Linked DNA regions of Arabidopsis thaliana. The protein of the gene in region 1 interacts with the protein of each later gene in a pairwise test. Each region holds a gene or a part of one and is shown in the gene's direction. Other genes may lie near its edges.

Evidence for each region.
Region 2: the proteins of AT5G10290 (region 1) and LUT1 interact in a protein complementation assay, tested with the Arabidopsis thaliana proteins (one large-scale study listed by BioGRID).

What each region holds. Positions count from the first base shown.
Region 1 is NC_003076.8:3,224,369-3,240,315, reverse strand, and holds AT5G10290 (leucine-rich repeat transmembrane protein kinase family protein), read left to right. Parts: upstream 1-1,507; 5' UTR 1,508-1,765; intron 1,766-1,917; exon of another isoform or gene 1,918-2,116; 5' UTR 2,117-2,144; coding exon 2,145-2,235; intron 2,236-2,361; coding exon 2,362-2,494; intron 2,495-2,574; coding exon 2,575-2,646; intron 2,647-2,740; coding exon 2,741-2,884; intron 2,885-2,996; coding exon 2,997-3,068; intron 3,069-3,154; coding exon 3,155-3,220; intron 3,221-3,299; coding exon 3,300-3,370; intron 3,371-3,469; coding exon 3,470-3,610; intron 3,611-3,712; coding exon 3,713-4,449; intron 4,450-4,539; coding exon 4,540-4,854; 3' UTR 4,855-5,058; downstream 5,059-15,947. Other genes in the region: MES5 (methyl esterase 5), read right to left, coding at 25-156, 270-632; MYB92 (myb domain protein 92), read right to left, coding at 6,360-7,101, 7,203-7,332, 7,408-7,540; CDKC;1 (cyclin-dependent kinase C;1), read left to right, coding at 15,642-15,754, 15,934-15,947.
Region 2 is NC_003074.8:19,691,148-19,708,431, forward strand, and holds LUT1 (Cytochrome P450 superfamily protein), read left to right. Parts: upstream 1-1,609; 5' UTR 1,610-1,664; coding exon 1,665-2,162; intron 2,163-2,311; coding exon 2,312-2,608; intron 2,609-2,697; coding exon 2,698-2,895; intron 2,896-2,984; coding exon 2,985-3,086; intron 3,087-3,184; coding exon 3,185-3,325; intron 3,326-3,394; coding exon 3,395-3,502; intron 3,503-3,663; coding exon 3,664-3,746; intron 3,747-3,843; coding exon 3,844-4,006; intron 4,007-4,101; coding exon 4,102-4,131; 3' UTR 4,132-4,544; coding exon of another isoform or gene 4,545-4,922; intron 4,923-5,031; coding exon of another isoform or gene 5,032-5,368; intron 5,369-5,476; coding exon of another isoform or gene 5,477-5,541; intron 5,542-5,908; coding exon of another isoform or gene 5,909-6,208; 3' UTR 6,209-6,395; downstream 6,396-17,284. Other genes in the region: VPS37-1 (Modifier of rudimentary (Mod(r)) protein), read right to left, coding at 35-81, 169-208, 639-726, 821-1,003, 1,330-1,343; AT3G53140 (O-methyltransferase family protein), read left to right, coding at 4,545-4,922, 5,032-5,368, 5,477-5,541, 5,909-6,208; UGT73D1 (UDP-glucosyl transferase 73D1), read right to left, coding at 6,589-8,139; UGT73C7 (UDP-glucosyl transferase 73C7), read right to left, coding at 11,338-12,810; AT3G53170 (LOW protein: PPR containing protein), read right to left, coding at 13,453-13,481, 13,605-14,688, 14,775-15,084, 15,194-15,270; NodGS (nodulin/glutamine synthase-like protein), read left to right, coding at 15,921-16,082, 16,287-16,636, 16,725-16,840, 16,918-17,023, 17,166-17,284. UniProt on the Arabidopsis thaliana protein: Heme-containing cytochrome P450 involved in the biosynthesis of xanthophylls. Specific for epsilon- and beta-ring hydroxylation of alpha-carotene. Has only a low activity toward the beta-rings of beta-carotene.

The sequences.
Region 1 (15,947 bases):
TTTAGAGATTTGTGGGAACAATACCTCTATGGGACAATTTTGGTAAAGACGTGCCTTCATGAATTTTGGTCCCATCTTCAATAAACTCATCGTCCCATTTCTTGTTTCATGAGATGAAAACTCACAATCTCCCAAACCTCCAGGCATCTCCATATACTTTATTATTATCATCAACCAAACCAAGAATTATTTTCATGGTATTAAGATAAGTTGGTCAAATTATAAAAAACTACTAGTATCAAAATTATTTTTGTTATTTTATTGTTAACCTTGTCCAGAACGTGAGAAGGCACGTGGGTTGTGTCGGGCAAGAAGGCGTTGAGGAACACAAGAACCTTAATCTTCGCCGGAAATATGTCGGCGGCGAGAGCGATGTTGATGCCTCCGAAGCTGAATCCAACCAGAATTACCTCTTCGTTCTCTGGAAGAGATTTGAGGGTTTCGATCAACGGTTTGGAGTATTCGTCGACGGTTTCAACGGCCTGGATTGGTCGTGGGTCGATCCCGGAGGCGGCGAGTTCGACAGCAGTAACGCGGTGGCCGGCTGATTCAAGGAGGGGCTTGAGCTTGTACCAGATCCAGGCTCCATGATAAGCGTTGTGAACTAACACGAAGTGATGTTTCCTCTCCATATGTCTCCGTAGACGTTTTCTTTTTGGTTAAGGTTCTTTGCTTGTTTGAGAATAGCGTGATAAAGTTGGGATATGAGTATGACGTTATTATTATATAGTGATAGTGGGATAAGGTTCATATACGTTACGCTGTTAATAACTTCTTATGTTATGACACATGTTCAGATTTACTAGTCTCCTCGGTCGGCTGTTGTATACTTTTGTATACTTGTATTTAGATATATTTTAAATAAATAAAGCAGAATTCTGTAATCACACTTAGCTAAATTACATTAATTTTTTTGGACATTTAAAAAAATATATGAGTACATCACAGTTTCAATCTAATAACGGACCAACACATGTAAGATTTTGACATCCGCGATTAGATGGACGTAAAAAAGGCTTAATTAACGGAACTAATTGAACACGATAAACACGTGCCTGTTAAGTGTTAACCGACCTAATCTTCATATTGATCTGAGAATCTTCACAGCTTCCCTTCCTTCTTTGAGTCTAGCCGGCCCATGGGCCGTGAAACACTGTGACTGTGACTCTCTTTTATTGACTCATTTTAACCTTTTCCTTTTGCCTTTTGGTACCAATTTTTAACTTTTCCTTTGTACAGGGAGATTCGCTTCCTTTTTTTAGGCTGGCCATTTCGTCTTAGTGAGTGGTGTATAGTTGGCCATTTCAGTCAGCTGTATTATAGCCTCATTGTCAATGATGTCGAAAATCATTCCTCAATTTACACAATGGTTGTCAGGTAAAAAACAACGAGAGTTGATAAGTAGATTTAGGAGGGAAAAAAGAAAAAGACAATTTAGTTAGTCTTCTTTTACATCCACGTAATTAAATAGCACATCGTTCCAAACATCATTATCAAAGTTCATTAGTTATTTAGGGAAATTACAAGTTGCACGGAGAAAAAGCAGTTCGTGGACCAACATTGGACTTTTCTTTCAGACAAAGGCCATTAGCGAGCGAGAGTGATAATTGCGAAATTGCCAAAAAACGCAAAGTCTACCACTAGACAAGAAAATCGAAGCTTTTCACTTTCTCTTTTTTCTGTTTTGTTGTCTTTGGTTCTACTCTCCGCACTGAATCTTTCGATCAGCGATAATTGTTTCCTTCTTTTGGGATTTTCTCCTTGGGTACGAGGTTCTTTCCTTCTTTTATTTGCTCTGTTTTTGAGATTTGGAATTGTTATCAAGTCTGACAAAATTGGTCACTAATCTTTCTGGGAAATTGAGCATGTTCGTGTTCTTGCATCCGTTTGACTCTTTTTCTATGCAAAGTCTCAACCTTTCAATAGTGGAATTTATTCTTATCCCTAATTTCTCTTTACCAGACCTATTTTTAGCTAAGTTTGGTTGAATTTAGAAAGTCTTTGATTCATAGTTGAAGAGATTCTCTCCATTAATCTTTCTCTGTAATGTGTCAGATCCACTAAAAGTAAGTAAGAAAAAGATTTTGTTGTAATGTTATTAAATGTGTCTTTGTAGATGGAACCAGCTCAATTAATGAGATGAGATGAGAATGTTCAGCTTGCAGAAGATGGCTATGGCTTTTACTCTCTTGTTTTTTGCCTGTTTATGCTCATTTGTGTCTCCAGATGCTCAAGGTGATGCCTTTTCTTACTTTTCAACTGCTATTTTGTTGCTCTCATTTCTTGTTTCGTTTCTGGTAATTTCTGAGCTTGTTCAGGTTGAAGATTTAACTCTATGATTCTTTGCTTTTCCATTTTCAGGGGATGCACTGTTTGCGTTGAGGATCTCCTTACGTGCATTACCGAATCAGCTAAGTGACTGGAATCAGAACCAAGTTAATCCTTGCACTTGGTCCCAAGTTATTTGTGATGACAAAAACTTTGTCACTTCTCTGTAAGTTTAATGACAACTCTGAATTAGTCAATGTTGTTTCCATGTGAGAAGATTTATATTCATGTCATTTGTGATTGCAGTACATTGTCAGATATGAACTTCTCGGGAACCTTGTCTTCAAGAGTAGGAATCCTAGAAAATCTCAAGACTCTGTAAGTGCTTTAGATTGAGTCTCTCTTTTTGTCTGAAATCCTAGAACATAGATATTAGGTTGTGAGCATTTCGCTACCTTCTTTTTATATATAGTACTTTAAAGGGAAATGGAATTACGGGTGAAATACCAGAAGACTTTGGAAATCTGACTAGCTTGACTAGTTTGGATTTGGAGGACAATCAGCTAACTGGTCGTATACCATCCACTATCGGTAATCTCAAGAAACTTCAGTTCTTGTAAGTAGTTCCGCCTCACAATGCTGTTAAATCTTGCACATGTTTTAAAACATTTTTAAGACGTAGAAAAGGATTACTCATGTCTTTATTCACTTGTGTGTTGGCTAAACAGGACCTTGAGTAGGAACAAACTTAATGGGACTATTCCGGAGTCACTCACTGGTCTTCCAAACCTGTTAAACCTGTGAGTTACTGTTCTTTGTGTTTATGCTTACCATCTTTCTGGAAGCATCCTTGTCTTAATTCCATTGTTTGAAACTATGTTTACAGGCTGCTTGATTCCAATAGTCTCAGTGGTCAGATTCCTCAAAGTCTGTTTGAGATCCCAAAATATAAGTATGTTTGACTACTTCAAGTTTAATCTAGCATGCTCATTTCTTTAGCAGTAATTTGATCTGTTTCTAATCGACTATAGTTTCACGTCAAACAACTTGAATTGTGGCGGTCGTCAACCTCACCCTTGTGTATCCGCGGTTGCCCATTCAGGTAAACTACTTCACTTTGCGATTGCTCTGACCGCATTTTCTTTATTTTCAACCATTTCAAAAGTATGAAAGACTGAAAACATCTAATCTGCGGTGATAGGTGATTCAAGCAAGCCTAAAACTGGCATTATTGCTGGAGTTGTTGCTGGAGTTACAGTTGTTCTCTTTGGAATCTTGTTGTTTCTGTTCTGCAAGGATAGGCATAAAGGATATAGACGTGATGTGTTTGTGGATGTTGCAGGTCTGTAATATACCCTACAGGGAAACCTTTCTTTCGTATTTCGTATTTCGGTATGTTATGATGTATTGATATGCAGATTTGTGGAACTTTACTATTTTTCAGGTGAAGTGGACAGGAGAATTGCATTTGGACAGTTGAAAAGGTTTGCATGGAGAGAGCTCCAGTTAGCGACAGATAACTTCAGCGAAAAGAATGTACTTGGTCAAGGAGGCTTTGGGAAAGTTTACAAAGGAGTGCTTCCGGATAACACCAAAGTTGCTGTGAAGAGATTGACGGATTTCGAAAGTCCTGGTGGAGATGCTGCTTTCCAAAGGGAAGTAGAGATGATAAGTGTAGCTGTTCATAGGAATCTACTCCGTCTTATCGGGTTCTGCACCACACAAACAGAACGCCTTTTGGTTTATCCCTTCATGCAGAATCTAAGTCTTGCACATCGTCTGAGAGAGATCAAAGCAGGCGACCCGGTTCTAGATTGGGAGACGAGGAAACGGATTGCCTTAGGAGCAGCGCGTGGTTTTGAGTATCTTCATGAACATTGCAATCCGAAGATCATACATCGTGATGTGAAAGCAGCTAATGTGTTACTAGATGAAGATTTTGAAGCAGTGGTTGGTGATTTTGGTTTAGCCAAGCTAGTAGATGTTAGAAGGACTAATGTGACTACTCAAGTTCGAGGAACAATGGGTCACATTGCACCAGAATATTTATCAACAGGGAAATCATCAGAGAGAACCGATGTTTTCGGGTATGGAATTATGCTTCTTGAGCTTGTTACAGGACAACGCGCAATAGACTTTTCACGTTTGGAGGAAGAAGATGATGTCTTGTTACTTGACCACGTATGTATAATCAAATAATCCTACCTCGAAGTAGCTTCTCTCAAGCTTTATTGACCGTAATCTTTTGGATCTTTTTTTTGTTTTGGACAGGTGAAGAAACTGGAAAGAGAGAAGAGATTAGGAGCAATCGTAGATAAGAATTTGGATGGAGAGTATATAAAAGAAGAAGTAGAGATGATGATACAAGTGGCTTTGCTTTGTACACAAGGTTCACCAGAAGACCGACCAGTGATGTCTGAAGTTGTGAGGATGTTAGAAGGAGAAGGGCTTGCGGAGAGATGGGAAGAGTGGCAAAACGTGGAAGTCACGAGACGTCATGAGTTTGAACGGTTGCAGAGGAGATTTGATTGGGGTGAAGATTCTATGCATAACCAAGATGCCATTGAATTATCTGGTGGAAGATGACCAAAAACATCAAACCTTGAGTTTACTGTAAAGTTGCCAACTTCACTTTTTTGTTTTGTTCTTCGGTGAAGAAGTAAAATCAGTTGTATAAATCTTGTTTTTGTTTCATGATGTATCTTTTGACTTTAATAAATTCTGTGAATGAAAAGAACTATGATGTTTTGTTGACTTTTTTCGTTGACCGCAAGAAACCTTTTTGTCGTCTTATACTGTCAGGCCTATTACAAAGTTGTCGTTTATATGGGCCTAATATGGGCTTTTAAATACATGTTTTCTGTCCCAAGTTGTCCTAGTTTTGCCAACTCAATTTATGATTTTTTTTTTTAATTATATCACAAAATAAAGATTTCTGTATTCTCTGACATGAAAATTAATATTTATTATTGAAAAATCGTTGTTTTCATATTTGAATAGAAAACAAGAAGAACAAAAAATTAACATATTTTTAATCATCTCTAAATTGTGTTAGATACAATAGCAATGTATTTTAAAGATTTTTATGTTCATGATCGAAAATATCCAAAAATATTTAAGATTGAAGAATGGATAATAATATACATTATCCATTGACAAAAAAAATCTATACATCATTATCATTTGGATACGGATGAAGTAAATTCCCTAATTGCACAAGATCTTTACAAGCCTCGATTATGTGTCAATTCAACATTATAACAAAATTAATAATAATAAAATAGATTCAATGAGTGATTTTTCTATAAAACCTAATGAGAGATCACTTTATCTGACATCACATACTTAAAGGGCCTTGTCTTTTAATTATTATTAAATCTCTACTTGGCCTTTTTATATTATCGTTAGCCAGCCGATCACATGCTTCTTCACTTCTTCCATTATTTGATCGATCTTCTTGGCAATCAAATCAACATTTAGACTTAACCAATGATATAATGAAACAACTCAACATTCAAGCTCTAATATGTGTTGTTTTAGAGCAAAATACGTGGTCTTTCATATGTTAACATATTTAAACTCTAGTCTCTAGCTTTAATTTGTTTGATTTTCTGCTTAAAGATACACAAACTGCTCTTTGATTTTTTTTGTGTGTTTTCATTCACATAATAACAGTTTGTCTATTATTTGTTATGACATCTATATTCATACATGATCCGAATGTTATCACTTATCACCATGGAAGGAAGTGTAAAACAAAAGATTCAAATAATCAGCAAAAACCCTAATTATTAAATACCATACAACTACAACTACAACTACAAATGATATCCATTTCACAAAAATCTTATATATATATAAACTCTGTGCACAGAGACATATGCTAAAGAACATTGACAACAACATATGCATATGAGTATGAAATCTCTGTACTGTACATTCTACAACATGAGTTACAAATATATGATGTCTCTACAGTATTTATATATATATAGATAGGCAAATAAAAATCTCCAACAAGCACAATTCCAAGAGTAAATTTGATTTGAGTTCCTCCAAAGTACATACCTGAAAGTAAAGACAAAAGAAGGCTAAGGAATGTCGGAAAATATAGAATCATCCAATAGATGATCAGGCCATGCAGCTGAAGCTGAAGCTCCTGATTCTTGACCGCTTGAAGATGTGATATTGCTATTGACATCTTCAATACCGTATTGGTTAAAAATCAGATCATCATTCACATGAGCAGGAGTTGTGCTGGATGGATCCGAGAGCCAGATTGGAGACACGGGTAGGTTTTCTCTTTGAGTGGAGAATTTGAAGTGATTGTCATCAAGATTCTGGGGGAAAACAGATGATGGTTCCATGTTGGAATTTAGGGTTTTCAGGGAAGGTAAGCTGTGGAAGTCCTGAAGATAAGAGCCGAGGAAACCGAGGTCGAGATTGTTGCTGGTGGTATTATTACTGGTCTCTTTGAAAGAGGCAATAGAGTTAAGGAGACTGAGAGTGTCAAAGTCATTAGGGTTAACATTGTTACTCATGGAAGACGGTTGAAGAAGGTATTGGAACAATTGGAGTTTGGCCATCTCGGTTTGGAGTTTGAGTATAGTGTGTTCTTGATCAATAGGAAACTGTTGTTGCAGATCAACAAAGCCTCTCAGGTTAGAAGACAAAGACATGAGCTGAGATAAGCCGGAGAAGATATCGGTTCTTGGACGGTGAGTCATTGGATCAAAACCCATCTGAATCAGCTTCTTCTTCAAATGAGTGTTCCAGAAATTCTTGATCTCGTTATCTGTTCTCCCTGGTAACTGATTCGCAATCGTTGACCACCTTATAACATCATCATTCATAAGCAATCAGTATAAGATAATCTGGTACACAAACAAAACCGTTGACTAAAACATCAAAACAATCATCACAAGATTAATTACTTGTTTCCAAGAACTGAATGAAGATTCAAGATAGTCTGTTCCTCGTCCGGAGAGAATCTCCCTCTCTTGATGTCTGGTCTCAAGTAGTTCGTCCATCTTAGCCTGCAACTCTTCCCACACCTGTTAAGACCTGCACAGAGAGAATCACATGAGAAGCTTAGACTTAAGACAAGCTTTCAAGAAAGAAAGAACACAAAAGCATTACCAGCGAGTTTGGGAAGGGCTCTCCAGCTACTATGACCATGTTTTTGAACATAGTTGACAAGTTTCTCATCTTCATCAGGAGTCCAAGGACCTTTCTTGAGACCAGAGTCATCAGAGATAGGAGATCTTCCCATGTTAGATGATCTTCTCTTCTCTGTATCTAAATCAACAACGGTTTCTTTTTCTTTTCTTTCTTCCTTCTCTATACTGTTATAATTGTCTCTGAGATTTGGTTGCTTGCCTCCTTCCTTCCTTCACAACCACTAACTGCTTCTTATTCCAATTTATATTAAACCTAGCATCCTTTTCTCTTCATGTCCATTCACCACGTGCTTCTTTCCTATTCGCCTACCAAAACAACCATGTCACTTTCACCTTTCAATTCCATTTTTCTAATCATTTTCTTTTATACTCTCACATACGCATTCCTTTACCAGTGTGATAAAAATCATTCAATGTAAATTCTTCCTCTTGTCTTAAAGCAACATCAGTATCATCTCGGGAACAGCCGTCTCCAACGGACAAACACATAACAATCGATTTGTTTTTTGTCTTTAATTGGGAAGCAGTTCATTAGTTGCCATCACTATGCCCTAGTACCAAACCCCTGCATTTGTCAAGAAGAATAACAACAACACATAGTTATTGCTTGGTCTCTTCACAATCCAAAACTCTAGTCTAGGTTATTGAATGGTTCAGCTCATAAAAAAACACAGATCAACTAAAAGCAAGAAGGTTAGATCATCTTTCTTATGAAATCCATAAAAGATCTTCTCCGAGTAGGTGATGATGGAGGAGAAGGGCAATAAAGGATATTTGACAGGAGGGCTAAACTTTTAGGTTGTATTTTTTAATCATTGGAATGACAAATAAAATGAGAAAGAATTTGTGAAATATAGAAGTCAGCGCCAACAACACATGGCAACAAGAGGGTGGCCAAAGAAGAGACATCTCCTCTGGCACGCAAAATTAGGTTTTCCTCGCATCATCCATTTCCATGGCCTATTAGTTTATGCATTTAATATTTCATATTAGCTATATTTTTATTGTATTTTTCTACATACCGATTAAAGCTATGATCAACCAACTAAACAAAACGGAAGGCAATGAACCCTAAGAGCTTGCCGCTGAAAATGAGAATCTTTCAAAAAAGTCCTGAGAGATTATTAAAGCAAGTAAAAGATGTAAAGTGGTCCAATAGTGTAAAAGAAAAAGATGCAGAGTGGGTTTGTTATGACCGTGTAAATTTCTTGTTTGACACATCATGATTAAGTCCATATATAGCAAATTTTAAGGTATTACTTACAGAGATTGCCAATCCCTAAAATGCATTTTTCTAGGAAGAAAAGATACCAAATGAAGAAACCGACAGGAAAAGCATACACTATATCGTTAGAAGAAAACTTGTAAGATTATGTTTTGTATCATTTTGTGGCAATACATAAGAAAACTTGTAAGCTTATGTTTAAAATCATCCTTAATTATTTCCTAAGCGCATTCAATGAAATTTCAGCGAGCAATAGCAATGGACAGATCAGAAAGAATGTCAATGTAAGTCAGGGGCAAGTTTGGGTATAATCAGAAGAAGTACTTACTATTGATGATGGTGACAGGCTTGATATGACAGATTTTGACCACTAGGGAGGAGCTGGTTAGGGGAGAGGTGGGTGCAGAAAATGATCTAAATCTCCACCATCTTTAAAACCTATAAGACTTTCTCCCTCAGCCTAAGTATTGCACCCAATGGCATATCTTGAGCTCTTGTCTTTTTCTTCTGTGTCTTCTATATAATGAAGATCACAGGTTCCGTGCACAAAATTCAAACTGAACGACATAATATCAAGAAACAAAATCTAATTAAGAAATAGAGAAAAATCAAACAAGAAGATGTTTTACCAAATGAGGGCATCAAATCTGTCAGTTTCTAGAAGATATTTTAGTGTATTCAGTAACTGTAGCCTGTAGGTGAAAGTGAAATGTGATACTCTGACTCTCTGAGCAGGTTTTGTATGGATTTGCATTAACATATTTTCACTCAACTCATTTTCTACCTTCACTGCAAATATAAACATACAGATATACATGAAGCTTGACAAACTAACATTGCCTAGAGAACCCAAAAATTATAACGTTCCTTATATATATAGAAGATTATAAAGCCATCTATCAGAAGAGGATTAATAAAAGCCATTATCTTAATTTTATTTCATTATACATTGAAACTCCATGGTAGCATCTGGATGTACACTATGGTTTTCGTTGCATCATATTTGAGCCTACGACTCTAGAAGTATCATCAGACCTAGGTAACAGAAGCCTACAAATTAAAAAAAAAAAGACGAAATAATTCTTACAAAAACTCAATTAAAATTAGGGAAAGAAAGATTATAATTGCTTGTTGAATTAGGGTTCCTCTCAGAGTGGAGGAAGCAGGTGAAGAAAATATTAAAGAATTAAGGAAAGCACTATAGGTTTTTTACAAAAGTATTAATTATGAAATATGTGATGTCACTTAAACCGTTCTTTTCCTCTAATTAAAAAACAACAACAACTTGGTTTTCATTGTCAGCTAAACAACTGAATTGCTTCTTCTCCTAAGTTTCAAACCAACGCGTCTAAAAGCTCGGACTTTCTATGTAACGAATGAAAATATTTAACCCTTGTATTATACCTATATATTGAATGTAAATGTGAAAAGCAAAACTCGAGATCATCTGCAAATATACCTTTAATCAATTTATGATACCAAGCATTTTGCAACCAACTTTTAAGTTCCACAAAATCGATAAAACACAAATTATAAGTTTGTGTATGAGGATTTATCTGCAGTAATGATTAAACTCTTGATACTTACAGAAGTCAGACGAAATTAACCAAGATGCTCGTGATTCGAATATCATCAGCATAGGTTAGGTTCCTGAATGAAATTCCAATGAGTGACGAGAGTGGTGACTGTAAAACCAAGAAGAACAAATATGAGACACACGTGTAACATCACACACGCATGCACACGTATATAAACCTATAATCTTCATGACCATCCTCTTTTTCAACTGTTCATATGGTAGCAATCTTATTGGAATACAGAAATTGGTTTCTATTTTATCTGTAGTAATCAAATTAATGATGGTTACGCATAGTCAAGGATTAGTTTTATATGATAATGATCTAAAAGGCATTAATCTTTTGAAACTCATGTATATTATTCAAATCTGAAAAGAGAAATTAACAAGAAATCACCGGTTCAACATCTTCTTGCTTACTCTTCATTTAGAATAGTAAATTAGCACATACTTTTCTCAACCGTTACGCCCAACATTGCTGGAACATCTGCTAGAAAAAAAGCATCGTCACAAGAAACCTCGAGAACATGACAAATAAGAAAAAAAGAAAGAACAAGAATGTCTACCATTAGTTTATATAAAGTCAGTCAAATATTATATGCCCTAAACTGTGTGGTCTTAAGCGGTATTTTTGTTAACAATCAACCACTAAATGTCATTTTAGGTGGCTGAACTTCTTTTGTCGTGGACATCGTTTTACAGCTCAAGACAGTGAAAGACATGGATGCTAACAACGGAAAAATATATATGTCATCCACGAGCTCTACACATATTGGATGCATTAATAGTATCTATCATTAAGTAAAATGTATCCATATATAAAAGGAAAAACAGATGAAGAGGAATTATAATACGAATAAAGTTTCACTATATGCAAAAAGAAGGAAAACTATAGAGGAATGTGTACCTATACCTAATGGGTCTTTCCTACAAAAAAAGTTGCTCAATGACAAGAGGTAATCTAGCTCGTACTTAGTTAGGTGCATCCGTGCATGTAACCAGTGTGTCAACTAAATCTAGAGGAAGCAATAATTCAGGATTTAAACCATCACAAGTATCTACCAAGTTCAGAACATAGACGAAATCACGAAATGAAAGAAATTATGATTTCACGATGTCATTGTTGACAAATTTCTCTAAATTTTCAAGAATAGAACCACTTCAGAAGATACACTATGAAGTTCAGAAGATTGTTTTACCAGGAAAGCCAATAGGATCACATCTCTTTCTATTCTTGTTCAAGAATTTGCATCTCCAAGACCCTTTTAAGGTATTCATATAATATTTTTTTGAATGATACTTCCTGCCAAGAAATAGATTCAAACAATTAATTTTGAGCCCACTGCATGTATTAGAAGAGAAGGTTACTATAGGATAGCATGTTGTACATTTAGGATTGTTTAACCTAAATTTTGTTAGACCAAATCTAAAAAAGCCCAAACTGAAATCATCATACAGAAAAACCCATGAGCTCAGAGGGGAAGAACTAGTAGCTATCATCAAATAAGAAAGTAGTTTAAAAAAAAAGTTAACTAGGCATCATAGAACAAGCCAGCGATTATGTTTATTTGGGTATATTATATAAACATATATCTTAATCATCAAATTAGAAGAAAGAAAATTATATATATGGGAAATAAACCTACCACTCCTCATCATGGTATATAAGCATCATCTGTCATGCATCTATTGCAAAGTGGTACAGAAAAAAAAGAGTGTTTAGAACTGAAAAAAGGATTAGTAGTGGCTTTATGATCAAGTCGGTTTTGATTGAGTTCACCAAGTTAGTGGTGCCTTCTCACTAAAAGCTTTTTATAGGGATTTTCATCAAAGGTCCACCTTCAGTACATACTAAGACAGATAGGCAATTATTATGGTTGAAAATAATGTATGTAAATCTTTATTAGTTTCACAAATCTGCACTAACATCTAGACAACTTGAACATATATCTTCTTGAACATATAAACTACCTTTTGAAATTTGAGTTTTACGAGGAAAACTAGACGAAGTTAGTGCAAAGTATAAACCAAACAAACAAGATTGTTTACTATAAACCAAAGAAACGAGATTATTTCAGTAAATAAATCTTAAACAAGTATAAAAAGTCCAGCTTTCACTTTGACAAATGGGGGACAAAAAAGGCACAGCTGAATAAAGTTTGTTAACTTTTACCAGTCATGTGATAAAGGTGGAAAGGTAGATTTCTGTCAACTTTTTCATGATTTATGTGCTTGAAAATATGACATTCCCAAGACAGTCCCTTTAACATCACCAATCAATATAGCTCAAAACCAGTGATAAAACCATACAATTTTGAAATACTCTTATCATTGTAAGTTTATATGTGCATGGAGAAACCACATTTGCTTAAATAAAAATTGTATAGAATGAAGTAAAACTAGTTAAAGATTAGACAAAGATATGGGAACTAAAAGCACCAACAAACCTCAGAACCTAAGAGAGGTGGCCACACCACTCGCCGTTTATGTTCTTTGAGTTCATCGTTTCACTCACCAGCAAGCATCAAGCAGAAGACAAAGAGAAAATCTGAAAGACCCTGTAAAAATAACATTGTTGCTTTTAAGAAGGTAGTAGCTAAAGCAAACAGGCTAAAGTGAATTATCTTTTCACGAAAGTGTAAGAGTTTAAAGACAAAACCGGGGAAGCTTTTTGCATGAAAAAGTAAGCCACATGGCCTGACTCAAAAAAGTACGAAGATCTCTGCATGAACATATACGTAAAGAACAGGATACACAATAGAATAATCTTGACAAAAGCATCATAAAAAGCTGTGCGAACTCTAAAACACATGGTTGGGGTTGGTAATTAAGTCAGGTCTTTAAATTGAGTTCCAATAAAGAAAATAAAGCTATCCAGGAGCAAACCTTATAAGTCACCTTTAGATCTGCTCTTTGTCCTAAACCTTTTGTATTTATTCTAGATTAGTAGCACTTAACATTAAGTAAACACTAACCTATTCTTTTGAGCTTCACAATTGTCCCTATCTTTTTCAGAGACACGGAAAAACACAAATTAAGAATTTCATCCAAAAATAATAATAACACTAAACAAATGATGATACAGTTTGAGATGCATGATTAGAATCTGTTAGTAAACTGTAGACTGATGGATGTGAACAACACAACGATTGCAGATGCCAACCACAACTTAAGATAATTCTTACCAAAAAAAAAAATCAATAAAACTTTGCATAAAAGTCTATAAATTTGACGATTTCCACAATATAATATTGTGGGCAGATAGATCTTTCAGAATACCTTTGACTTATACCCTCAGATAGATTATATTAGGTAAATCCTCTCATGGACTAGATCATTGCTAATTTGCTATTTCAACTGTTTAGTTTTCTAACAATTAGGATGATAAAAAATCTGGAAAACTCTCTTGTACATGAAGCAAACATGTGAATCAACACATTAACAAGCAGCACTCAACAACAACAACAACAACAAGACATCAGAATTATTACAACTTAGAATCCTGCAGTTTTGCTAGCTACCCCAAGAGGAGATGAGATACCTGAATTGAACTCTGGTTGCTGACCTTCGATAGCAAACTCCTACAGCTTGAAACTGAAACATGGTAACAGAGGCTTCTCATTGCCAATGTAGACTTAAATATGTGTTGCTTTGCATCATTTATGGACCAGAAAGTGGGATAGTTATACGTGTTGGACATAGAAGTCACAAATGGCTGACCACTCCCTTGAATTAAGAAACACAAGAATAAAATATCACTGAAATCACCAGAATAGTAGGAGATGGTAGAACAACTCCACTACGTAGTCATCATCCCACAGAAGAAAGTAGCTTGGAAGAGGAATGTTTTGGTTAGCTTGAAAACTACACCATCAGACAGAAAAATCAGTAAGTAGGATCATATCTCAACCCCATTGTGGAATATGAACCAAATATGCAAGTCAATTTCTTCTACAGACAGTGGATTGGATGAGAACATTGTTTATATATAGTCTTAACATTATTTTATCATTAGTTCATTTTGAAACTTCCATCAGTCAGATTCCCTATATATATAGTAAGTTCATAAAACTAAGAAGAAAAAGCCTATATATCTTTCATATCATTGTGGACCAACAAACTTAAACAAAACCAAAACATCAACGGATCAAGTTCAAGAAACATATATAGCACATACTTAAGATACTTATCTATCTTTCCCATCGCCCAAGTCGAACTCTAATATCGGTTACAAGAAAAAAAACCTAGCATGATTCATAAGAGATAAAAGAAATATCATCCATACGAAACAAAAGAAGGGAAGATTTATGTATAGGGTTTGATTCAAGTGAATGACCATAGAGAAACATTTTCCTAGAAATCACAAAACCCAAAATTAGACCTACCCACACCAAAATCAAACTTCCGAAATAACCGTCCTTCACCGATGTTAGCATGAAACCTAAATTGAATCGGGTGAGTTAGGAGTTAGGACCAATAGCCGATGTTAGGGTTTGACAATGAGTAGGGAGATAGTGAATCGTGTCTTCCTGTAGGTAAAGAAACCGAGATCTAGGGTTTGGTCGAGATTCGAATGTTCTCGTTCTTCCTTTGAACCAGAATGGTCGTGTACACGGTTAAATGGCGTGATAAGCACGCTAACACTTCAGGAGTAATCTGTTCCTATCGCACCTCTTGTCACAGACGGTGAACCCACTGGAAAACCTAAGTGATTTTCTTAATTTTCCCGCTATTTTTGGGATTTCTCAAATTCGCCTCCAATTTTATTTACGAAAATCAAATTTTATCTCGAGCAGTAAATCTAGGGCGTTCGAGTGTCCACTAGTTTTTCTCTTTCTTTATAATATATCTAAGCTTGAAAAATAAATATTAATCAAAATGTATGAATGTTTACTTTATAGAACAATTAATGTATGATTTTTGTAATTGCAATTTGTTTTTTTTTTTTGTGACTTGTGAGTGTGCTTGGCATTGGCATGTTAAACAATTTTGTTGTCAAGTCTTTTATGATGAGAAAGATACATAAGAAACATAATCCCATAATTCCAATTTTTAAAAAATGGAGTTTGTATTTTAATAAATACTTTTGAAAAGATTATTTTTGTTGTGGTATTTTTGAAAACCGGTCAATAAAAATGATATTTGATATTTCTTTCATTATTTTATTTAAATTTAACGGATGATCGCTAATTTACACCAACCGCTTGTTCAGGGTTAGACCGGTTCAAACCGGACAATTCATAGATTTAAACCGAAACGCTAATTACATAAATAAGCTGGGAAACCTACGGAGAGAGAGTTGTCTGAGAGAAAAGGAAAGCGATCGAGAAAGACGTAATTTGATCATCGGAGTAAAAGATATTGTTCGACAGTGGGACTCCCGGGAACGAAGATGGCGATGGCATCATTCGGGCAGCTAAATCTCGAGGAACCTCCTCCAATCTGGGGATCTCGCAGCGTTGATTGCTTTGAGAAGCTCGAACAAATTGGTGAAGGCACTTACGGGTTATTCACTTTCTCTTTAATTCAATTTCACTCTTTGGTTATTCAAAAGGCTTAATTTTTACTTGGGATTGATAAATTATTGGCCTTTGAAGCGATTTTTGATTGTATGATTAGGCTTTTACAATGCCTATGTTGTGTTGCTTTTAGGAGATTTGATTGTTGTTGTTTTGCTGTTGCAGTCAAGTTTACATGG
Region 2 (17,284 bases), on another chromosome or scaffold:
AACTGAACAAGAAAAGTTGGTTCTTGATACACACTTGGTTTCTGAGCTCCATTATCTGTGGCTCCTTCTCCAAGTTGTCTCCTGTTACATTTGATCAAATGGAAAGTTCTAGATTTCTGGATTGAACTAAAGTTTCCTGTAGAATTACATGAACCATAGAGTACTTACTAGCTAGCTGCAATGTTTCTCTACGGAGCTCATCTTTGATCTGACGGACAGAAACAAATCACGAAAAAATTAACGTCCAGAGACTATAACAAGGAACCAGAAAGCTGATGACATGATACAGGCTTTATCAAACAATATCAATGTATAGACTTGAAAGAGCACTAATGAATTATATCAACACAGAACTAAAGAAGCTACATATTCTTAGAGCTACAGATAAGACCCTCGGTTATCCAGAAACAACCGACTGTTTTAGAGACTATAACAAAGAACCAGAAAGCTCTAATTACTGGCAACATGTAGAAGATGACGCCATGATAAAGGCTTCCTCAAACAATATCAATGTATATACTTGAAAGAGCACCAATGAATAATATCAACACATAACTAACGAAGCTCCATTCTTAGGACTACAATTAATAGTAATACTCTTAGCTATCCAGAAACAACTGACTGTTTTAGAGACTTACATTATTCTGGACTTTGACCTGGTCAAGAGAGAGCAGAAATTGCTGATACGCATCTTTGTCAGAGAGAAGCTTCCTGAGTTCATCCACGCTACAGAAAAGTATACACTATTCAAAAAGAAGACATACAAAAAAAACGCACACTCGAGAGAAGGATAACAAACAAACAAACAAAAAGAGCAAACCTTTTGTCTTTCAAGAAGACGATAATGCCAGCTGCTTCACCCGGTGATACTTGTGCTGAAATCTGACCTGAACTTTGAGGCCGGGATGAGCTTGGCGAGCTAACTAAAGAAGGCGAGTACCATGGCGACTGTGAAGAAGCTTCCTGAGGACGAGATTGCCCTTGTTGTTGGTCTTTTGATCCCCTTCACGTACACAACAAAAAAAAGAAACATCATCAACTAACTATCTCAGCTTCCAAGTTAATATAATACATCACCTCATAAACTTGAAAGGTGCATTTATACAGCACATCATTGTAAACCTAATATCAGTAACTATGAACCCTAAATCAGTAGCTGAGCAAAATCTACACTTGTCAATTCACCTCAAAAACCTCAAATATATCATTATAGCTCAACAAACTACACAACAACAAGATTTCCTTAATCGCTAACAGACCTAATGTCTGGATCACGCAATTTCATCAATAACATATGAATCAGATGGCAAAAAATTCGCAAAATCATACCAGAAATTGAACATCGTTTCTAGAATTCGCCGACTAACGAAAGGAATTGACTTTTTCTTGTTCTCTTGTACTTCTTCTTCCTACCAGATCGACAAAATTTAACAACTTTACAGAAACAGAGTTTACAGAGTTTCAAAGAAAATTCGATCTTCTCTGTTTCGTTTCAGATTTTGCTACTTGCTTTTAAAAGGCCCAAATACGAGGAGGCCCATATTAAGTTTTGATTAACAAAACGTAGTCGTTTTATGCATCGTCGTCCTTATCCACGCGTAACGGTTCGCGTTTCTACACAGAGTCAAATATTTCTGCACGGAAGCTTCGAAAAGAGGTCATCAATGGAGTCTTCACTCTTTTCTCCATCTTCCTCTTCTTACTCTTCTCTCTTCACTGCAAAACCTACGCGTCTTTTATCACCAAAACCCAAATTCACATTCTCCATCAGATCCTCCATTGAGAAACCCAAACCCAAACTCGAGACCAATTCATCGAAATCCCAATCATGGGTCAGTCCCGATTGGCTCACAACACTCACTCGTACCCTTTCCTCAGGAAAAAACGACGAGTCAGGTATACCAATCGCGAACGCGAAGCTCGACGATGTCGCTGATCTCCTCGGAGGTGCTCTCTTCTTACCTCTCTACAAATGGATGAATGAGTACGGACCCATTTACCGTCTCGCTGCTGGTCCTCGTAATTTCGTAATTGTGAGCGACCCAGCGATAGCTAAACATGTTTTGAGGAATTATCCAAAGTACGCTAAAGGCTTAGTCGCTGAAGTCTCTGAATTTCTATTTGGTTCGGGTTTCGCTATCGCTGAAGGACCTCTTTGGACAGTAATTTCATCTCCTCCTATCTCAATTTTGAAGTTTTTGGAATTGTGGAAGTAATGTGTGACTGTCTTGTATGATAAGTAACTCTAATTTTAGGGTTTAGATTCCAATCTTCTCTATTGGGCTTAGCTGAAGTCTGATTTTTTACATAGGCGAGGCGTAGAGCGGTGGTTCCATCGCTTCACAGGAGGTATTTGTCTGTGATTGTGGAGAGAGTATTCTGCAAATGTGCAGAGAGGCTTGTTGAGAAGTTGCAGCCTTATGCAGAAGACGGAAGTGCTGTGAATATGGAAGCGAAGTTCTCTCAGATGACACTTGATGTCATTGGGTTGTCTCTTTTTAACTACAATTTCGATTCTTTGACTACTGATAGTCCTGTCATTGAAGCTGTTTACACTGCTCTTAAAGAAGCTGAGCTTCGTTCTACTGATCTTCTGCCATATTGGAAGGCAAGTTTCCTGTGTTTTTTCTGTGGTTTGTTGATTGTGTGGAACAATTGGATTCTTGTTAATTGAGAGGGTTTGGTTGTTTTTTTCAGATCGATGCATTGTGTAAGATAGTCCCGAGACAGGTGAAAGCTGAAAAGGCTGTAACTTTGATAAGGGAAACTGTTGAAGACCTTATTGCTAAGTGTAAAGAAATTGTCGAAAGAGAAGGCGAAAGAATCAATGATGAGGAGTATGTAAATGATGCTGACCCAAGTATCCTGCGTTTCTTGCTTGCAAGCAGAGAAGAGGTTTAAACTTTTTTCCTTAAGTTTATAAGCAAATTTGGCCTTTCATTATCGCATAATCGAAGCTGATGTTGCATTGTGAGGGTTTTCAGGTATCAAGTGTGCAGTTACGGGATGATCTTCTCTCAATGCTCGTAGCGGGTCATGAAACCACTGGATCTGTCCTCACTTGGACACTTTATCTCCTAAGTAAGGTACCTTAATGTATCTTCTACTTTGCTATGCTAGAGAATTTACTTGGATGGGAGCTTCTCTGTTCTCATTTACCTCTTCAAATTCTCTATGTTCATAGAACTCATCTGCATTAAGGAAAGCACAAGAAGAAGTAGACAGAGTGTTAGAAGGAAGAAACCCGGCTTTCGAGGATATAAAGGAGTTGAAGTACATCACTCGTTGTATAAACGAGTCAATGCGTCTCTATCCTCATCCTCCTGTAAGCAATCAAGCTCATCTCTCTAATTATTCATGAACTAAATTTTCTGATTGATTTGTTTCCTGGTAGGTCTTGATAAGAAGAGCTCAAGTTCCTGACATTCTTCCTGGGAACTATAAGGTCAATACCGGACAAGACATTATGATTTCAGTCTATAACATCCATCGTTCTTCCGAGGTACAGTTCTCTTCCTTCTCTCGTCCATAGTATAACATAGGGGAGCCTAATCCTTCTCTTCAATGATCTTTGTGTGGTTCGGATATCTAACCGGAGTGGACATTCCTAGTATTACATTCATGCCCACATTTCTTATGTGTTTGTTGTTTGTTATTCCAAAGGTATGGGAAAAAGCTGAGGAATTTCTGCCTGAACGATTCGACATAGATGGCGCAATCCCTAACGAAACAAACACTGATTTCAAGTAAACTCAGTAGAACACATCTTTTGACACAAACTACTGAATCAAGATTAGTGGTTTTGATTAGGGAATTTAAAAGATGATTTTCTTTTTTCACCAGATTCATCCCATTCAGTGGAGGGCCTAGAAAATGTGTAGGCGATCAGTTTGCATTGATGGAGGCAATTGTGGCACTCGCGGTGTTTCTTCAGCGGTTAAACGTTGAGCTGGTTCCTGATCAGACCATTAGCATGACCACAGGAGCAACCATACACACCACCAATGTATGCCAATGTTCTCACACTCGAGAGATTAATGAGAGTGTCTGTTTTGTTTAGAATGATTCCAATTTCTCTAATGCTGATATTTTCAATTTCAGGGATTGTATATGAAGGTGAGCCAAAGGTAAAAACCAGAATTTATGTTTTCATGATAATTGATTGGTGTGAATGGACTTGTTTCATAGTACTCTTGAGAAATAACCACAAAAAAATGAATTATGGAAAATAGTTGTACCATCGGAAATGTGAATTTTGAACAGTGAGATGCTAGTACCATTAAAGTTTGGTAATTGTGTTATCATTTCAAATCAAACTTTCATACAGCTTGTGTTTGTTCTCCATTTTTCAGTAATTACGAAAATCAAAATTTTATTTTTTTTTGAATTTCTAAATAATAGACTAAGGTCTAAAACCATCCCATTCCATATGGACCACACGTAACATTAACCTTAAAAACCATATAAAACCATATAAAACCAATACTAGTGGGTTCTATAGCGATGTGTAGTTTCACTTTCACGTACGAGGAAGATTAAAAAAAATGGAGAACGAAAGCTCAGAGAGTAGAAACAGAGCTCGTCTTGCCATTATGGAGCTTGCTAACATGATTAGCGTTCCCATGTCTCTCAATGCCGCCGTGCGACTAGGCATTGCCGACGCCATTTGGAACGGCGGAGCCAATTCTCCTCTCTCTGCCGCCGAGATCCTCCCTCGCCTCCACCTACCATCTCACACTACCATTGGTGGCGACCCCGAGAATCTTCAGCGTATACTTCGGATGCTCACCAGCTACGGTGTCTTCTCCGAACACCTTGTTGGATCCATTGAGAGGAAATACTCTCTTACGGACGTCGGAAAAACTCTTGTAACCGACTCCGGCGGCCTCTCTTACGCTGCCTACGTCCTCCAACATCACCAGGTTTATGACTCATTTTCATTTTCCAAAATTGGAGTGATATATTAAAGGACTAATGATGGTATAATAAACTAATGTCTAAAACTTGTTGTGAAAATGATATATATTACAGGAGGCGTTGATGCGAGCATGGCCACTAGTTCACACGGCAGTGGTGGAGCCGGAGACAGAGCCGTACGTGAAAGCAAACGGCGAGGCGGCATACGCTCAGTATGGGAAAAGTGAGGAGATGAATGGTCTAATGCAAAAGGCAATGTCTGGCGTATCTGTACCGTTCATGAAAGCTATATTAGACGGCTACGATGGGTTTAAATCAGTGGATATTTTGGTTGACGTAGGAGGTAGTGCAGGGGATTGTCTGCGTATGATCCTTCAACAATTTCCTAACGTCCGTGAAGGGATTAATTTCGATTTACCTGAAGTTGTTGCCAAAGCCCCCAATATTCCTGGTGAGATTTTGTATTTATGATATATTGTACGTACGTTATTTTCTGAAAGTAAAAAGCTATTTTTAGTAATGTACGGAGTAATAATGGATGATATATTGTATGGTTTAGGAGTGACTCACGTGGGTGGGGATATGTTCCAATCAGTTCCTAGCGCTGACGCTATCTTCATGAAGGTTTGTTGTAACATTATTGTCTGTCACGAGAATACACCTACTAACATTTTTGCTAATAGGACGAATTCTAGTTTCTGTATATAGTTTTAATGTTTAGTGATATAGGTATAAATTTATAAGTCGCTTCGGACAATATGTTTGGTAGTATATAGTCTTAGTTATCGTTAGATCATGCGACTGGTCACTTTCATTTATTTATGATCATTTAAATATTGATTATACATTTCTCAAACCAAAAACTTGTGATCTGTTAGACCATGGATAGGGATCTCATGTTTGTTGAAAGAACAACACAAACAAATACACACATTTTTTGCTTCTCTGGTCCCAAATTAATATCTTGTAATATTGTTGTTTGAGTGTAAAGTGGGTGTTAACGACATGGACGGATGAAGAATGCAAGCAGATAATGAAGAATTGCTACAACGCGTTACCAGTTGGAGGAAAGCTGATTGCGTGTGAGCCGGTCTTGCCTAAGGAAACCGATGAAAGTCACCGGACTCGTGCCTTGTTAGAAGGTGACATCTTTGTCATGACCATCTATAGAACCAAAGGTAAGCATAGAACCGAAGAAGAGTTTATAGAGCTTGGTCTCTCCGCGGGATTCCCTACTTTTCGACCTTTCTACATTGATTACTTCTACACCATCTTAGAGTTTCAGAAGTAATATTCAAGCATTTTTCTTCTCATATTTCTAAAAGCTTCAAAATAATGAATCAAAAGACCTCTTTGTTAATTGAGTTGAGATATCTAGTGAAGACATTAATATTTTCATCAAGATGTAATAATCTAAAGTCTATATTCTAAGTGCATCCTTAAAAGGCATTTTCCATATATATAAGTTTCATCTTTCGAGAAAAAGGAAAAAAGACTCTTTAAGTGATGATTTCAAGAGTATTTCTAAATCACTCATTAGGCTAAGAGAAGAGTTCGAAAGTATACATATTATGCACATTATATCTATATGAATTTTTCTTCTTTGGCAAAAAGAAAAATCGTTTGGTGTTATTCTTATAAATCTTATGTCAACTTCTACATTCGATTTTTCTACACGAGACTCAATTGCTCCAAAACATCTTGGATTAAAATTGAAACGTTAATACTCGAAGATCCCTTTTCTTCCACAGCCTTTTTCGCCATTACTGCAAGTTCTTGAATACGTCTCCTTCGTCTCACGAATTCATTATCATCATCATTTTCGTCTACACGTTGACAATCTTGGTCCATCAAAAGCTTTATAGCTTTCACAACACTCGGTTTCTTGACCAACACTCCAAGTCTCTCCTCGTCTCCCCATCTCACCGGAATCTCCACCCCAACCCTAACCCCGATGTTCAAAACCTCCACGATGAGTTTCTCATTGAGAAATTGTTCAGCGAACAACGGCCATGTGATCATTGGTACACCAAAACATATCGCTTCTATTGTAGAATTCCAACCGCAATGAGTCAAGAACCCGCCGGTTGAACCATGTGAGAGTATCATAGCCTGAGGACTCCAACCCTTTATTACTATCCCTCTTCCTCTAACTCGCTCTTCAAAATTTTCGCGTTTTAGCCATTCGTCTAGCTCAATCATGTGTTTTTCCTCGGTCTTTATCACCCAAATAAAGGGTTTTCCCGATTCTTCTAACCCTAAACCTAGTTCTATCAATTGATTAGGTATTAGTCGACAGAGGCTACCAAGAGAAACATATAAGACTGACCTTGGTCTCATCGAGTCAAGAAACTGCAAGCATTCGGTCTCGCTTATTGCGATGTTACCATTACTTCCTCTATCGAATAGGTCAGCCATACGGTCGTTGCATAAAGAAACGGGTCCAACGAACCATACCTTCTTATTGATGGCCTCAGCGTAGGCCTCTGCATAGCCAGGCTCCAATTCCTGGAAGCTATTAACAATAACCCCAAAGGCTTCTGATTCAGATTCACGCATCTTCTCGCGAACGTCATCCATATTTGCTAACTTCTCAAAAGCACCAGGTAACTGAGCTCTAGCTATCTCAATCCTATGTGGCATTCCTGGTATAGGGAATGGCTCTACGGCCGAAGAAACCGAGAGGTGCGGGCTATGAAGATGGATATTGTGCGAACTCAAAAGAGAGAAGCAACACATTCCATGGAACACGATCCTCGGGATTTTGAACCTCTTTGCGGTTCTTGACGTCCAAAAAAGGCATTTATCGGAGATTATGCAACTTGGAGGGATATCTTGTTGCTCAAGAAACCGTTCCATGGGCTCTTGGAGTTTATCCACAGCGTCATAGAATCTTCGTAGGAGGTCTTTGGAGGGCAAAGTGTCCAGAGTCTCACAATCTTTGGGAAGACCGAATTCTTTGTAAGGAATTGGAAATTTAACGACATTGATTTCGAGACCCGACTCTAATCTTGCTCGGTCAACTGTCTTCGCAAACCTAGAAGCATTTTGAGGGGTTGTAACTATGGTAACGATGTTGCCTTGTCGTGCAAGAATCTTGGAGATGTCGACCATGGGGATCAGATGCCCTTGAGCCATGAGAGGGATCAAAACAAAGTGAAGTCTTTTGGCTTTTGAAACTATTTTTGATTCCATTTTTGGGTTTAGCAAATGTTTATGCATATACAAAATTCGACAATGTGTATATACGTGTGTGAATGCATCTGGTGAGAGACCTTTAATTAATTGGGAAAGTCATCAAAAGCTGTATATATATACTGACTTTGAACAAGTCACCAAAAAAGAACTATTGTTTAGAGAACCAATCATGTACCCTCATTCTTATAAAAAAAAATCGCTGACGGTGATGAGTTACGTCATTCATGACACTTAATGAGTTACATAAGATAAAACTTCAAGGAAAATATATATGTGAGGAAAACTTCAAGGAAAATTCACAAATGAAACAAAAAAAAAAATGTTGAGTTATCCAGTGAGATATGTAAATTTAAGTTAAAAGAATCTTATCTTAAATATTTATTAGTAAAACAAGTTAAATATTCACTGACACTTACGAAAAGACAACTATATATATAAAAATATCGTTATCTTAATTTGGTTTATTTTGTATTACGACTTCTGTATAAAGAAGTACCAAGTAGGTCAAGCTTGGCCGATGGGGCTGTTAGAGTTCCATTGATTATGGTTTTGTCTCCACCTAAAGATAGATTATTTGTTTGGTTATCACATGATCGATCACATCGTTAATCTACATGAGTTTCATTTAATTTCTTTCCGGTGTGTTCAAAGAGATCGATTTGTTAATGCAAATGAAATCAATTTAAAATTAGCACTCGATAGAATTTCAACACATTTGTACAAGAGTTCACGTTGAGCTTTAAATTGAACAAAAGAAGAAGAATTAGGACTTCTAATTTTATACAAAATGTGATTTTATTTTCCTCATAATAAAGAGTCTTTTTTGCGTAGGTTTAGGTTCACGGAGTTCCTGTTTTTCTTTGTTCCAAACATTGGTTCCAAGATCGCATGAAAGAAAGAGAGAAGGAAAACAAAATCAAAGGCGCTATCTCAAAGTCAAGATAGATTGAACAAGATATGATATTCGATATGTAATTTTTTAATTTATATTTTTGGAATCAAATTCATCTGGTTGTAATGAACGAATCTATAACTTTTTTATTTTTTTTGGGCAAACGAATCTATACTTTTGATGCGAAATGATTGAGATATTCTATAAAGTTATTGTCTATCAGAATATGTATACTAAAAAGATTATTTTGATGACTAATTAAGAACAAGATAATGTATGGAAAGAAAAAAAGATAATGAATGACAACTTGGATATATTTTTATATATTAATGTATGATCTCAACCCTCGGTTATGTAGGTTGCCCATCGAAATATATTGGAGATTAAGCCTTTAAAAAAAAAAAATATATACATATATTGGAGATTGGGAAAAAATACTTCCCAAGTTTAATTTTTTATCATCAAAAGTTCATAAAATATTTTAAGTCAAGGCATTTCTACAAACTAATTAGGAAACTATATACCTAGCTAGCTAGCTTTTAGCCCAAGAAAATCATATAGTTGTGATAGTTAATTTAAGCATTCGTTTTGAATAAACAAACACCAAACACCACGGCATATTTTCCTTATCTTTTTAGAGTTCCGTCTGAAAAGGACATATTTTTTTGTCTGCATGAAAAAGGACTCTTTGAAACGTTCAAATTGTGCGTATGTGGCGAACAAACCAACGTAAGACCAGTTCAACTTTTGGAATATTGGAGCATTGACGTGTATCACTCATACCTTTTGGGTAATCTTAATTTGTCTCTATATTGATGGGATTTTAAATATGAGTCCTTGTCATATATTTTTTTTTTTTTGATAAGCAGGAGGTTCGGGGCCTAGACCCTTAATCCATGCAGGGTCCGGAGAAAACCAGGTGAAAGTCTCTGGCCAAATAAAAATAACTAGCAATTTCACGCCTGAGGGGAATCGATCCCTGGCCTGGACCAACCGGGCAATTCCTGCTCAAGTGGAAACCAGTAGACTACCACCACTTGGTTTCCTTGTCATATTTACAACATGAATGGTATACATAGTATTGCTTTTCACAAGTCGTCTTCTACTGATAACAAGTTTCATTATTTTTTTTGTAATCAAATATTATTTGAACATTTATCTTCAAATGTTCTCTTTTCCGTTCTTGTTTTATGTCTTTGTTTACAACTTGTAAATAAAAATTCTAATAAACACACTATCATGTATATTTCATAGTTTCATTTAGAGCAAAACATAATATTTTAACACAAATGAATAAAAAAGAATCCGCTCTAGTTGAATTGTTTAAAAGTATATGACATAGTTTCACTTTGCAACTGTGTCTACGTATATATATTCATTTTGTTTGATGGAGCACGCCTATTTTTGCATAAGAAAAATACTGAAATCTCTTACTCATGTAATGTGTATCTGTCTTCAATTACCAATCATTGGTATTAGAAGACAACCATGGCTTTCACTAACTGCTCTGCGATCAGCTATGTACAAGATCTTCATATTTGACTAATTATATTGAGACGAATCAATCAATAAACTTAGACTTTTAATCAATAAAACTATATGAGAAAAGCAAAGCCACGTCCAAATGTCAAAAATGAATCAAATAAAACAACTTGCAAAAGAAGATTCACCGAAATTTTGAAAACAATTCTGCAATCTTACCCGGCCCTTAAAGGACTGACTAGTATGAGTATCATATATTAATCTAATCAAAATCGATGACTGGAAATATCTTCTTACGCAACACATTAACATGAAGATGATCCAAAGTTCCAAACTACCGTGCCAAAAAACTTGATTTTTCAAATATTTTTTAGCAGAAAACTGAATAGACTAATATTAAACGAAGAAAAAACGATTCAATATAAGTCATTTGCCGATGATCCTCTCTTGGTCGTCTTTGAAATACTAATATAACTTATTTTCTTCATTTAATGTGACAGCAACAGCAACCTCTTTATGCTTTTTAAATTTTATATGTTTAACTCATTGTATATAATTTGATGTTTTTGAATCAAAATATTAAATGGAGATGAGTTTTTGGTAAACTCTAGAGAAGATATGTTACCCAGGCCCACTAGACTTATATATGGGCTCTAAGTTTAATAACAAAAACCTATATTTTAATACATATGGGTCCAAAAGTATGAAACAAATTCTGTCTGGATATTGTGGATATATACAGCACAAAAGCACCTTTGACACATGAAACATTGTTAATCTAACATGGAAAATAAAACACTATTTTATAAGCATATATTTTGTTTTTCTCTGGTGCCAAATACCAAAATTTAAAATTGATTTTGTGATTGCTCCATAATATCTTGAATGAGCAATGTGATATTAGAATCTGAAGATCCTCCTTTTTCCAAAGCCTTATTTGCCAAGTCACTAAGTTCTGTAACTTTTCTTCTTCTCTCTTCTGCTTCTTCACTATCACCCATTAGCTCATCCACAGCTTTTCTCACACATTCTCTGCTCACCATCGCTCCTATCTCCTCTTCTTTTCCATATTTCATCAATTTCTCTACTCCTATCTTTAACCCTGCTTTTAGTATCTGCACAACTAACTTCTCATTCAAGAATTGTTCAGCAAACAAAGGCCATGTCAATAATGGAACTCCTGCAGTAATTCCTTCTAGTGTCGAGTTCCATCCACAGTGAGTCAAAAACCCTCCAATGGATGCGTGTGAGAGGATGAAAACTTGCGGCGCCCAACCTTTGATCACCAGTCCTCTATCTTTGATCCGCTCTTCAAATCCGCTTTGTTGCATCCAATTTGCTAAATCTCCATATTTTCCCCATTCTCTTATAACCCATATGAAAGGTTTATTAGATGCCTCAAGGCCTAGTCCCAGCTCTTTGAGCTGAGCCAAGGGAAGATTACATAGACTTCCAAGGCAAACGTAGAGCACTGAACCAGTTTCTTGAGAGTCAAGCCATTGAAGACATTGGTCTTGACCAATAGAAGCCTTATCTCCTCTTTTAGCTTTGTCTAACCCTAACCTATTGCACAAGGAAACAGGTCCAACGCACCAAACTTTTCCAGCCCTTGCTTTCCTATATTCTCTTGCATAATCAACCTCTAACTCTTCAAAAGTGTTCACAATAACACCATAAGAGTCATTATCAGCTTCAATAATCTTGGCCGTACTCTCTTTCATATTTCCTTCAACAGGTTGCAACACAGAGACCTGAGGTTTCGTGAACTCAACTTTGTCAGGCAAGCCGGGCAAATCAAAATACTCGTCGTTTGATTCTATCATTTTCAAGATCCCGCTTTCTCGAACCACTTGTATAGACATGAGGCTGAAACAAGAAAACCCATGGAAGATAAGTTTGGGGATCTTGAATTTCTTGGCAAGTCTTGAAGTGAAAGGAAGGCTCATGTCTCCAATGATGCAGCTTGGCCGCGGCTGAACCATCTCTTCCATAGCTTTCTCAACTTGCTCCTCAAGTGAGTTGGCAGCATCAAAGAACTTCACCATATCGCCCATTGAAGCCAACATATCTAAACTCTCGCACCCTTCTGGCAAACCCGTTTGTTGAGACAGAAACTTAACTTCAACGATGTTGATAGTCGCAAACAAAGAGGAAAATGAGAGTGAAGTCTTGATCTTGGCTACATTTTGAGTAGTTGTGATGATGCAGACAGTCACGCCTTGGCGCTGGGACAAGAGCCTAGAGATGTCGACCAATGGGATCATATGGCCTTGGGCCATAAAGGGTATTACGACGAAGTGAAGAGGATCATGAGAACACATTGTAGAAGATCTTACAAGGAAAAAAAAAAAAGATCTTTTAAGGCTTGAAAAGCAGGCCACTCTTTACAAATGATATATATAATACGATGTTGGAAAATAATTTATGTGTATATAGCTACGATAAAGTTTTAGATCACAGTTTGTTTTGACCCGTCTAAAGAGCCTGCGTAAGAAAATTATATTTTACTTTACCAAGAAAACTTTGAATTGAGTTTTGGTTCTAGACAGCTGTCCCAACCTATACGATGAAAACAAATCCAAAATATACAGACACAATATGTGATAATATTTTCTAATACATGTGAAAAATAGACCATAACATTTAGACTAGTGATGGCTTTTATTACTTACATTGACTGGAATCATTACGTTTTCTCCCCAATGCTGATTTGGTTATTTCAGAACCGACCCAAATTCTCATTAGTAATGGCCATGCCTCTCTTGGGATCTTGCTAACCAACGCTCCAAACACCTGAACAAACACTTAAACTTACAAGCATGTGTCTCCATTTTATCTTGAAGTTTAGAGTAAAAATAACAGTTTATAACAAAAAGGTTACCTCAAGTGATTCTCTTAGTTGGAACAATTCACAACTTCTAAATTCCTTCTGCATTAGATTTGCTCATTCACAAACTAAAGCATCACTCCGTAAGCCTCTTCTTGCCTATATCTTAAAACCCAGTAAAGGAAGAATAGTTCAGAAACAAATTCAACCACCAAATAGAGCTGCAATACTCAAGATATATCTCTTATCTCAGTTATTATATTTCTTAGAGGATATCTAAATTCTCACCAGAGGAAATCATTTGTTTCTCGAGTTCCTGGACTGCATCGAATATCCCATGAGCAGTATAGGTTTTGATCATAGTAGCAAAAGTGATTTTATCAGGCTTACATTTTCTCTCTTCCATTTGTATGTATAATTCTTTCATTGTAGCCAAATCACCAGCCTGACCATATGCATTGATTATGCAATTGAAGAACGGTGTATCCAGTACCACATCTGAATTCACAATTTGCCTCAAAACCGAATCTATCTTAACGACAAGACCTGCTTTGCTATACGCGTTAACAAGCGAACAATAAGTGATTGAGTTTGGTTTCACTCCTTGATACTTCATTTTCCTGAATACATCATCCATTTTCTCAATTCTTCCAGCTTTTCCAAACGTCTCAATCACTATATTGTAAGTGACAGTCGTCAGGGAGAAGAACCTTTTCTCCATAAAATCCATAACAGAGCACATCTTCTTATACATACCAGCTTTTCCAAATGACAGGATCAGTATGTTAAATGTAGTGATATCCGGTTGCACCCCCATCAGCTGGAACCGACTATACCAGCTCTCCATCTTCCTCATGTTGCGACCATTTCCATATGACCCAATGATCGAGTTAAGCGTACAAACATCCGGAAGAGAATCTCCGTCCTCGATCATATCAGCCAGAACACTTTCCATTTCCTCAAACATTCCAGCCTTTCCATACCCATCAATAATAGTATTGTAAGTAACCGTGCTGCATCCAACTCCAAGATACGACATCTCAAGAACGATACTTTTAACCAGATCAAACCGACCCAGTTTGCAGCAACAACTGATGAGAACAGTAAAGGTGAACACATCTGGCTTGCAGTCACTAACAGATTTCATATACTCAAGTGTAGAAAACGCCTTGTCTAGAAGCTCGCTTTTGCCATAAACAGAGATAAGAGAGGTATACACATCAATGGTTGGTTTCAATCCTTCAGATAACATAACTTCGAAAAGCAAGCTGGCTTGATCAGGCTGTTTACAATTCCCAAGCACTTTAAACAGCTTTGTATAAGTTTTGCATCTTGGTTCATACCAATGCTGCTTCCTAAGAAGATTGAAAATCTATAAAGTAGAGAAACAGGAAAGTGAATTCTATCGAATCTATGTCCAAGTATCTGTAAGAATGAAGAAGGATTAAAGAGCTGTACCTTGAGAGCAGACTGCCATCGATTCTCTTTGATAGCTTCGTCAAGAGCTTCTAGAACAGCTTTTGGCCATAAAGTTAAGTACTTTTCGGAATTGGCTTTCCTCTCAATGCCCTTCACAGCAGCATCTGTTCTCAGAATCCGAGACAATTCTTTCTTAGGATCTACTTGGTGTCTTGTTGAGATCAAACCAGAATTCATTTTCTCTGTACGTTCGTTGGGGACCTTTGTCGAACACATTGTGGGCGTTATTGAAATAGTTGGTATACACCGAAAATAAACAGGGGAAGATATATGTTGCTGAACCACGCTTCTGCAAGAATGAGAAACAGAGAAAGATAGATTTAATATAAACACAACTGAAGAATTAAAGAAACGTAAAATTCAAAACAGTATGATTGTATGAAATATGAGAATGTTACCGAGAAAAACCAAGTTGTGCGATCTCATTGGCGTACGCGGAAGTAGTTCCTTGAACAGGATTTTGTATCAATGCCATCGAAGAAAAATGGTAGAAAGATAAGGTGGAGAAAAAGAAACTGCAAATTTTCTGGGTAGAAAGCAGAGCTAGAAGACGACGACGATACCGTTGTTTTTCCTTCGTTTTTTTCTTCTTCTCCGGTTTGGTGTAGCTTCTCTTCGGTTTGTAAAATATAATGAAATGGTTTTAGTTTTGATTTGGATGCCGGTTTAATTTGGATTTACAAAATTAAAAATTTAGCATTAATCAGTTTTTTCTTGTCCGGTTTAAAGGATTGGATTGATGAAGGAAGAACCAAATGGAGCTTTTTCCAATTTAATTTTGAATTCGAATTTGTTAAAACGAGATTGTCCTTGGCAAGGAACCGGAATTTGGAAAATGAAAAACCAAGAACACAGTTGAAAGTTATCCACACTAGTTAGGACACGTGGAGGCTAATGTATTTCACGTGGACACGTGCTCATCACTCTCCTCTAAACGCCGTCGTGAAGTTTAAAGGTCAGAGACATCGGCCACCGACCAAATCAGACAAGGAAAAGTCAACGATTTGATTGGATCTTCTTCACTTATGCTTTAAAACCGTTCCTGTAATAAACTGTGAAGATTGTAAGAAGATTAACACGAATCAAGAACATCGAACTGTTGACTTTAGACAGAGAGAGACGGAGATGGAGTTTAGTGAGTTAAAGGAAGCAATAGAGAAGATAGAGCTCGTTGATGCTCACGCACACAACATTGTCTCTCTTGACTCATCTTTTCCGTTCATCGGAACTTTCTCCGAGGCTGCCGGCGACGCTTTAACCTTCGCTCCTCATTCTCTCTCCTTCAAGGTACACGACGATACCAAGTGTTTTTGCTCTAGTTAGTTTTCGTTTGAATCAGATTCTAATTAATGAAAACGTTAGCTTAAAGTTTCCTAATTAGTCTCAAAAGTATTAGTTAACTAAAGTTTCGAGTGTTACTCAAAAGATGTTGACTTGTTTAGGAATCTCGTGAAGTTGGTATGAATGTTTTTGGTTGTATGAATGAAACAGAGGAACTTGAGGGAGATTGCTCAACTTTATGGCACTGAAGTATCTTTAGAAGCGGTTGAGGAACATCGTAAAACCTCGGGTTTGGATTCTTTTACTTCCAAGTGTTTTAAAGAAGCTCGAATCTCTGCTCTCCTCATTGATGATGGATTAAAGCTAGACAAGAAACATGATATTGAATGGCATAGAAACTTTGTTCCATTCGTTGGTAGAGTGTTGCGTATCGAAACTCTTGCCGAGCAAATCCTCGAAGAGGAGTGTCCTGGTGGTTATTTCTATGGTTCTGAGAGTACTGAACCGCCTGTTTGGGATTTAGATTCTTTCACCAAAACCTTTGTTGAAAGATTAAATTCATATCCTTTTATCTTTGCTTTTTTAATACACGCTTAATGATTGTGACTATACTCACTAGTATTGGTTAACCTTGACTACTTCGGTCACGCTTGTTCCAGAGATTGTTGCTTTGAAAACTATTGCTGCATATCGTAGCGGTTTGGATATTGATACTTATGTGAGTAAAGAAGTTGCTGAGAATGGCCTTGTTGAAGTCTTGCGAGGTAAGATGGTTGTGCTTGGTCTATCAAGAAGTAACATAGTTGTTGTCTGATCACCTTAAAATCTAATATTGCTGCAGCTGGAAAGCCTGTCCGCATAGGAAACAAGGGCTTGATTGACTACATCCTTACCATTAGTTTGGAGGTCGCTGTGCGTCGCGACTTGCCCTTGCAGATTCACACCGGGTATGCAAGATTTGATCAACTATATGATTGATGTTAGTAAAGTCTGATCTTTTTATCAAACAAACCTTACACAGAAACAGAAACTCATGCTCAGAGGTTTGTAGTAATGAAAATTCTCCTTTTCTTTTGTTGTTTGAGCCAGTTTTGGTGACAAGGATTTGGATTTGAGGTTGTCGAATCCTCTTCACCTTAGAACCCTTCTTGAAGACAAAAGATTTGGAAAGTGTCGTATAGTTCTTCTTCATGCAGCTTATCCATTCT